Linked DNA regions of Arabidopsis thaliana. The protein of the gene in region 1 interacts with the protein of each later gene in a pairwise test. Each region holds a gene or a part of one and is shown on either strand. Other genes may lie near its edges.

What was found.
Region 2: the proteins of PDF1B (region 1) and AT3G55240 interact in a two-hybrid assay, tested with the Arabidopsis thaliana proteins (one large-scale study listed by BioGRID).

The regions. Positions count from the first base shown.
Region 1 is NC_003076.8:4,725,956-4,730,726, reverse strand, and holds PDF1B (peptide deformylase 1B), read left to right. Parts: upstream 1-1,980; 5' UTR 1,981-2,055; coding exon 2,056-2,269; intron 2,270-2,353; coding exon 2,354-2,492; intron 2,493-2,570; coding exon 2,571-2,763; intron 2,764-2,857; coding exon 2,858-2,968; intron 2,969-3,239; coding exon 3,240-3,302; intron 3,303-3,496; coding exon 3,497-3,598; 3' UTR 3,599-3,633; exon of another isoform or gene 3,634-3,688; intron 3,689-3,730; 3' UTR 3,731-4,086; downstream 4,087-4,771. Other genes in the region: ARFA1B (ADP-ribosylation factor A1B), read right to left, coding at 232-340, 467-585, 668-787, 1,018-1,088, 1,261-1,408; AT5G14650 (Pectin lyase-like superfamily protein), read right to left, coding at 4,399-4,771. UniProt on the Arabidopsis thaliana protein: Removes the formyl group from the N-terminal Met of newly synthesized proteins. Has a preferred substrate specificity towards the photosystem II (PS II) D1 polypeptide.
Region 2 is NC_003074.8:20,472,805-20,477,134, reverse strand, and holds AT3G55240 (Plant protein 1589 of unknown function), read left to right. Parts: upstream 1-1,802; 5' UTR 1,803-2,429; coding exon 2,430-2,465; intron 2,466-2,588; coding exon 2,589-2,694; intron 2,695-3,113; coding exon 3,114-3,259; 3' UTR 3,260-3,800; downstream 3,801-4,330.

The DNA.
Region 1 (4,771 bases):
CTTTCTTCTCCACAATCACTAATGGTCTCCAAGGACAAAAAGTGTTCAGCTTCATCATGCCTACTCAGTACTCAATCAAAATGAAGGTTTGATCAGTATTCATGAATAATGATTTTTTCCTCTAAATGTCTCCAAAACTGTATATATAGATATAATCTAAAACCCCTAAGGATGTTATTTAAGTGCATCAATACTTTCAAAAGAGTGTTCCTTTCAAATTTCTACTTAGTTTTAAAATGGGATATTTAAGTTATTTACCTTGGTAGCGATGTTGTTGGAGAGCCAATCAAGGCCTTCATAGAGACCTTCTCCAGATGTGGCACAAGTGCTTTGAATGTACCTGTTAAAAGAAAAAAACATAAGATACATGTTATCACAATGTGATCAATCTAACCACATTTTTTTTTATTTTTCAATCTAACCACATTAATTAATGAAAAACTTTGTAGAAAGAAAATAACTTTACCAATGGCGTTGGCGAAGAGAGTGAAGACCAAGCTTATCAGTTATTTCTGCAGCATTCATTGCGTTGGGAAGATCTTGTTTGTTTGCAAACACAAGAAGGACAGCATCCCTCAGTTCATCCTACAAACATGGTATAAATCAAATTATAGGAAGTTGTTTCAGTCTAACTGTGTAACAAGAGAAAACTAGAAAGAAGGCAAACCTCATTCAACATGCGATGTAACTCATCCCTCGCTTCCACAACTCGGTCCCTGTCGTTGCTATCAACCACGAATATAAGACCTTGAGTGTTTTGGAAATAGTGCCTCCACAAGGGACGAATCTGTTTATGTTTTTACGGAAGTGCATTTTAATGTCAAATATCAGACAAAAAAAGAAGACGACAAACACTCATAGATACTAGACGTGGAGATTAAAATTTCAAATTGAGCTTGCACGATATGAATAACCAGGTTTTATGAAAGATCATTACTAGTCACACCAAAACCAGAGCAGAGCATAAAGCATCACGAGGACAGTATACCATAAACATGGCAAGAGTTAAATATGTACCTTGTCCTGACCCCCCACATCCCAAACAGTGAAGCTGATGTTCTTGTATTCAACAGTCTCCACGTTGAATCCTGGAAACGAAACCCTCCTTAACATTAAATTTTAAGAAACAAAACTTCCATGCAGAAGAGGATTACATAAAATCCGTAGCGGAGGATTACACACAGGTAAGAAACACATAAAATATTAATCTAAGTGTACACATCGACAGACACTGTGATTTAAGGAATCCTTAAACCTTACCGATGGTCGGGATGGTAGTGACGATTTCGCCAAGCTTCAGCTTATACAAGATAGTGGTCTTACCAGCAGCATCAAGACCTACCATCAGAATCCTCATTTCTTTCTTGGCAAAAAGCCGGCTGAACAACTTTGTGAAATTAAGCCCCATTTTTTTCCTTTAGCTAGCACCTACATCCAAAGCAAACCACAATACTCTAAAGAAATTCTCTGTATAACTGAAGACCAACAAAAGAAACACGAAACACTAAATCTTTATTGATAAACACGATCACGTTAACATTCCAAAAAACCTTAACAACAAAGTTCGTATAGATTAAAAAAAATATAGATAATGAGATCCTTGAACAAAGCCAAGTGACGAATAACACCTTTAGACCATGAACAAAAAGAAGAAGAACGTATAAACCAGATAAATCAATCGATCAATCACTTGATACTCTTAAGAAAGATGGAGATCAAAGACCGAGAAAATCAATATACCAGAGATTTTGAGAAACGATGATACAGAACTTGAATCGATGAATGGTGTGAGAGTTTGTTTACCTTTCGAAGAAGCTCCAAAGAAGGACCTGTTGTAGAGCAAGCCGCGAGTTTCGAAAGAGAAAATGTCTCTCCTCACAAAAGCTCTAATAATAGAATATTGGTTTTAAAAATCGTCCTTATAAAATATAAATATTTCGGAATTGCACCTTAAACAAAAGCAGAATTACAAAATGGTCTACTCAATCTTTTACTTACTCTCCACACAAAATTCAGTTTTTCCGCTTCGTCTGAAATTACTCTTCCTCTCTAGCCATGGCCGTCTGTAACTGCTTCCTCCAAGCTCCACCACTCTCTCGCATACTCCTACCGGTTTTATCTCGCCGAGCTACTACTCTCTCTGCCGGTTATGGTCGGCTCAAATCCACGGTCACGTTCTGCTCTACTGTGAACCGGACCAGTCCTCTGACATCTTCGGTCCGCGCAGAAGTAAAGCGCGTCTCGCGTAAAGACGATAAAGTAGCTTCAGGTAACAGACTTGCTTATCTATTATTGATTACTCTATGAGCATGTACTGTTTATGTATGATTGTAATTTTGTGATAATGTTGAAGCTACTGATGTTCAATTTGAGACGCCTTTGAAGATTGTTGAGTATCCGGATCCTATACTACGGGCTAAGAACAAGAGGATTGATATTTTTGACGAGAATTTAAAGAACTTGGTTGATGCTATGTTTGATGTTATGTACAAGTAAGTCCTCCTTATAATGTAAGTAACTTAGTACTTAATAACAGAGTGATACTGTGATTACATATGGCTATTGGACAGAACGGATGGCATTGGGCTCTCAGCACCACAAGTAGGTCTCAATGTTCAACTCATGGTGTTTAATCCAGCTGGAGAGCCTGGAGAAGGAAAAGAAATTGTCCTTGTAAATCCGAAAATCAAGAAATATTCCGATAAATTAGTACCGTTTGATGAAGGATGCCTCTCCTTCCCGGGGATCTATGCTGAAGTTGTTGTATGTCCACCCTTTCTTGACTGAATTACTTAAACCTTATTATTGCTCATTGTTTCTTGGAAACCGGTTCTTATGTGGTTGGTTTTGCTTTCAGCGACCACAATCTGTCAAGATTGATGCAAGGGATATTACTGGTGAAAGATTTTCAATCAGTCTATCACGTTTACCTGCACGAATCTTTCAGCACGAATACGACCATCTGGAGGTTTGTTCTCCACTTTTATTTTGATAACTTTGCTTGATTAAATATAGCAATGACAACACAGAAAGTACATCTATGTACAGTTGAATGGCTGCAGTCACTTATATTTTGATGTTTCGACATTGAAAAGTGTCATCATTTACTCACGGGCCTTATCTTCTTTAGTACTTTTGTTCACTTTTACTTGTTTTCATGGAGGTATTTTGTGTTACTGTATGTGAGTATCACTTTCAAGCTTTCATTTCGGTCTGATGGAACATTCTTCAAATTACAGGGAGTTCTCTTCTTTGACAGAATGACGGATCAAGTTCTTGATAGCATTCGTGAAGAGCTAGAGGTGAGTAAAACTGTAGCAGGGCAGAGTCTAAAGCTACAATAACCACTAGTTAAATTTCGTGGATAAAATTACCATTTGTATGTTAGTAGTGACTCGTGACTTTGGTGAACATCTTTTCATTCAGTAGTCTATTGTCTTAAAATGTTTGTTATCATCGTAATTCTATAATATTCCTGACAAGTTTTGTACTGTAGGCCCTAGAAAAGAAGTACGAAGAAAAAACTGGATTGCCAAGCCCTGAAAGAGTAGAAGCACGACAAAAAAGGAAAGCAGGAGTTGGTTTTGGCAAACGTTGATGAGACATTCTCGCTCAAATTCCTTTCATCTACGTGTAGGATATGAGTACAACTGTTTTTTCTGAGTTGAGGTTTTATTCTTTGTTCTCTTGGGTTTTTTTCCTGAAAAATTCTACTTAATTTCCACTGCAGGAATTTACTATGGTATAGGAAGCAGACAATGACAAGAGACACGTTTGCTTTTTAAATTTAGAGGAGCACATCACATTATGTGATGCAAATCTCCCAAATAGGATGTACGGTTGAGACACAGATCATATATTTCAGAATCTTATTTTGGTCTGAGTAATATATTTCTTCAGTTTGTCTGTCTTGTGCTGTTAGCTTGAGCTTTGGAACTGCGTTAAGAATGTTCTTGCCGACTAAGTTGAACCATGTCGTGGTTTATCCGTTGTTACAAAGTAAAATGCGTTAGTTGTTTACATGTGTTGGTAATTAGACTTTTGATATATTGTTTAGCTCTCATTTTATATACTTTCTTTGCATCCCTCAGATGACATTACTTTTCTTCGAAGAAGTATATTACTTGTGATGTGTTCTATCATAACTGGTCCAAATAGTCATAATTGTTAGATTGTTGCTTCACAGATGAAATCCTTCCTTAGGCTATGGGTTGGGACTAACTCAATAACTTCCAATTGTCTATAACAGAATGCAATACATTGCATGCCATATATTACATTGTGTTTGCAAATGATTTATAAAAACTAGTATAAGACAAAGGAAGGGAATCAAACCCTTCTTTATTCGTATAATGTGTGGCCTATCTTAACATTTCTACATAATTTCTTACTCTAATATCAGCAAGCATCATTATTAGACCGACTTGCAGCTTCCGGTGACTTTTCTGTTTTCAAACATTGTATTGGTGGAAGAGTTTTTGTCTTCAGTTCACCGTGTGCTTTCCAGCAGAAAGGATCAAGTGAACTTGCTTTTCCTGTGGCTGGCTTAAGCTCGATGGTCGACAGTGAGATTCCTGTGCATGGCAAGCTATCACTGCAGGCAAAGCGTACAGGTTCTTTGGTGTAGGTACCTTTTATGTTTATGTAGTTTATGTTTGATACAGCGACTGCTGAAGTTTCATTGTGGCATCCGCCACCATCGCAGTAATATTGATCTATTATTATTGGATTGGCTACGTTGCTGACTTGAATATTTGAAAACATAACTTGT
Region 2 (4,330 bases), on another chromosome or scaffold:
ACTCCGTAGTAATTTTTATGTAATATATACGTTACTCGTTACAATACATACACTATTTTCTTGTAACACATAAACCGTTTTCAAATTCCTTATAAATGAAATATACGCTCATTATAACTACATAATCACTCATACGGATTCGAATGAACTTTGATAGCATGATCTTAAGAGCTGGATAAGGAAGTATCTTAGGTAAAAGAAATAAGTGGATGAGAGAGAATAGGCGTCTTGGTTTGTAATCTTGTTGACGAGGAGAGGGAATGAGAGAGAAAGTGATCATGAATAGGGTTTGAATTTGATTCGAGGGAATAGTTGCTGTTTCAGGACTCAAATTGAGAGGTCCACATGATGAGGAATATGTGTAGTTTTATTTAATGTCTGAATTTGATGGATCCTTCTGAAACCTTTGATTTCGACAAAACACCCACAATGTGTTTGTCTCTCACTTCTTTACGTAACCTTTGTAGATTCTCTCACTCTCTCTCATGTCCATTTGCGCCACGTCACTCAGATGGTTGTACCATTTGCGATTATTTGATCTCAATGTGGATTGTTATACGTGACATGTCATCGTCCTATTGGTTTAGAATCAAAAACTTTAATCTCCCGCGTCCCCTTACCCAACCAAAAAACTATTGATGATCACTTTGCCTTTTTTTTGGCCGTCCATTATTGTAACGTATACTACACTTGTCATGGTGGTACGACTATACCCAAATTAATACTTTGAGGAGTCAATTACGTAGATGATTAAATTATGAATATTATCTGGAAGAGATCGACGACATTTGGTTGGTGTAATCAACTTTTTCGGGGGTTTGTGTCATTCATAAATAACAAAAATTTCAGAAGAAAAAGAACTAAGTTAATCATTAGACAGAAATTTCAATAGCGTAACTTCAAAAAACTAATTATAAAAAAACAAAATCAACTGTGTAACTTACGTCAGATGTAATGTTTATTAGATGTAATAGGTTCCACTAATCCATATCAATATTATCATTTATGAGATGGAGTGGGATTTTGTCTTTTATGCTACATTAACAAGTACATGATAATTTCTGGGTTTCTTTTACCGGTCTTAATATTAATAAACATGTTGGTATGCATGGTTAAGAGTTAGGACTTAATTAGGAGGAGGCTCATACATATATGACAGAACTGAAAAATTCAGTAGCAAACATTTATCTATAACATGTCGTGTAAATTACGTTGGTTCTTTTTACGACAGAGGTTTACTAATGTATATGGATTATCTCATACTCATAATATGTAGTTACAATATATATATATATATATATATATATATATATATATTATAACTTTTTTGAATCTAGATTATATTCAAAGAAAAAAGAAACATTTATACATGTGAATGCAAAATGCAAACTTTTTAAAAAACAAATTACAAAGATTTTCTATCCTTAATGTTGCTCGATGCAAACCACGTTTGGATCTCATCCGCATATTTCTTCACTTCTCCTTTTCTTAAAGTGCTCAAGTGATTTCAAATGTTCTTATCAATCAACTTACCAGTTATATATTTTATATGCATGGTATTCCCTATTTAAACAAGTTCAACATTCCTTTAACAAAAAGAAAAAGAAAAAGGAAAACAAGTTCATGCCTCTCTTGCCTCACCTTAAGAGTAGACGTACCGATGTTCAGGGGCGACCTAGGCCTCTAATACGTCTTCTTATGATATTTCAATTGTCAAATCGATGGTCACACAACGGTAGTCATCGTAGATATACATTTGATATGTTTGTTACAACAGTTATCTTTTCTTTATTAATGGTAAGCCTTAACATAAGTGTTAAGACTTATGATTATATGCCTTGTATATTTCGCACTATGGTTTTATATTGTTTCAAAAGGAATTCGGTGAGTTACAATTGTTGAAGTCATTATTTTATTTGCCATTTTTTAAAGTATCAATCCTTTAAAATTCCGAATTTATCGTTTACTCTCCTTTTATGTAATCATGTGCTCTTAGAGCCAATACAACTAACTTTCATTTTCTTATATAAGTTAAAACATTAACAAATAGGTATAGATTTAATTTCTAGAAGATTATGGAAATTAAAACACGACTAAGTGTTTTTTTGCAGAAAATGTATAGAGAGAGAGGGGCCATGGATCACGTGGAGGATGCGTGAGATGGAAATGAAAAAACGAAGGGAGAAGAGAGAAAGAGTGATTTTACAAATCTCCTCTAATCCTTTCTCAGCCAATTATGATCAATCTCCCACGTGGGGCTTCTGGCCCCATGCATGCATATCATCTTTCAACTATTCACTCTTTTGTCTCCTTCTTCATCTTTTTGCGTGATCTTCTTCTATATATGGCTGTCTTTATCTCCACAAGTGGCTTTTAGAAAGAAGACTCTCTTTTAAGTTTGGGTGTTAATTCTAGGGTTTCCATTAACAATGGCAGATTCTTCTTCTGCTTCTTACATTCACATGGTAATATTATATTGATTCAAGAACCTCATGTACTTCTCCGGCCGTCGATTCTATGAATGATCTTATCTATTTATCTTTTACGTATGTACCTCAATATCTTTGGATGTGTGTATGTATGTATAGGTGCAGCACATGATAGAGAAATGTTTGATCTTCCATATGAGCAAAGAAGAGTGTGTGGAAGCTCTCTCTAAGCATGCAAACATCACTCCTGTCATCACCTCTACTGGTTTTAATTCCTCTCTCTCTCTCTCCTCTTTTTTAATACTTTTTACCTTTCCGTAATCCTTATAAACACACAAACATATCTGTACCTATGTACTCTCTAACGGGATTAATTATATGTATAAATTATGGAGCTATCATCATATTATGATACCATCATTTAGAATTTGATCATGTAATATGTACTTAATTAGCTACAGATAGGATCTAGCGTGATGGATCGATCTTCAATATTTCTATTCATATAAGTGCTCATGCATAATCAAATTAATGATTATATACACTGACTTGACTACCTGGCGACTAGAACTTATACATATACAAAAAAAGCCAAAGAAAATATAAAAATCCTTGCAACATATATATCCGGCCTATATATTTTGTTATCATAATATTAATGAATTGGAACAAAATAAATGACAGTGTGGAAGGAGCTGGAGAAAGAGAACAAGGAATTCTTCAAGGCGTATGAGGAGAGGCAAAGCAAACAAGAGCAAATGTCGGAGGAAGAGACAAACCAGATGATCCAGAAGATTATCTCGGATTCATCTAAAGAATCCGACGACTGATCGCGATGTTCGATCGTTAGATTTCGAAAACCTTATAGTTTATATATATGAATCTCATGAAAACGATTTATCCCTGACGCATGCATGTTTATAAGTAAATCGTTTTTTCATCTTAGCATCGGTCCAACAAGCAAGACAGCAAAAAAAGGAGTGATGACACTCTTTTTGGTACGTTATACGTACGTGGTCCACATAATATTGCCTCTGTTTAATTATATATAATGAAACGGACGCTAGCTCATACATGGATCGATGGTGTGGTGTTTTAATTGAATGTATCGTGTGTATATATTTTCAAATAAACTATTTATTTCGGGTTTTGGTCACCTTAAAAGGCTTTAGCACTCTTGGAAATTTTGTATCATGGTTTCCATATGCTTGCAAGTTTCGGAACCCAAAAGTCCAGATTTTAGCCAGATCAGTAAAAACGTTGATCAGCTGTTTTTTGGTCCATGATCGGCTGTTTTTTTTTTGGGGAACGTCTATGCAGCCATTTTTGTTTTTAATAGAAATTTCTTCAAATTGAAAATTTACATTAATTAAACAAAAACAATAACATGGAGAAAAAGTTCTTGAACAATATCCAATTAATTTGCGATTAAGTGGTCAAAATGTGTCCGATCCTATGATCAGCCCATAACTTGAACGTTGTTAATTTGTTATACCTTGTGCAGAAATGTCTTTTTGGGTCAAAGTTCATAAGAAAACTCTCACTTAACATGCGTTGTTAAGTGAGTGACTACTCACAAGAGTAGTAACACGTTTCAATTTCCAGCCCACGTAAATCTAGACTACATGGCTCCTATGTAATAATTCTTTCTTTTTGTTGGTAAGTAAACAAAAAATTATAAAAAGGATTTATTCTTACGTTAACTTGATATAAAAATGGAATTTCGAGAGTATATAGTATATACAAACGAATAAATAGACCGGTTGAAATGCAAAAGGTATGTATTTGCCAAAAAACAGAGAGTTTTGAATATAAAGAATTAAAGACAAAGATTGTCATTTAACTTTCTTTTTTTCAGTACAGTAAACGTGCACAACACAATATAGACCACACATTAAACT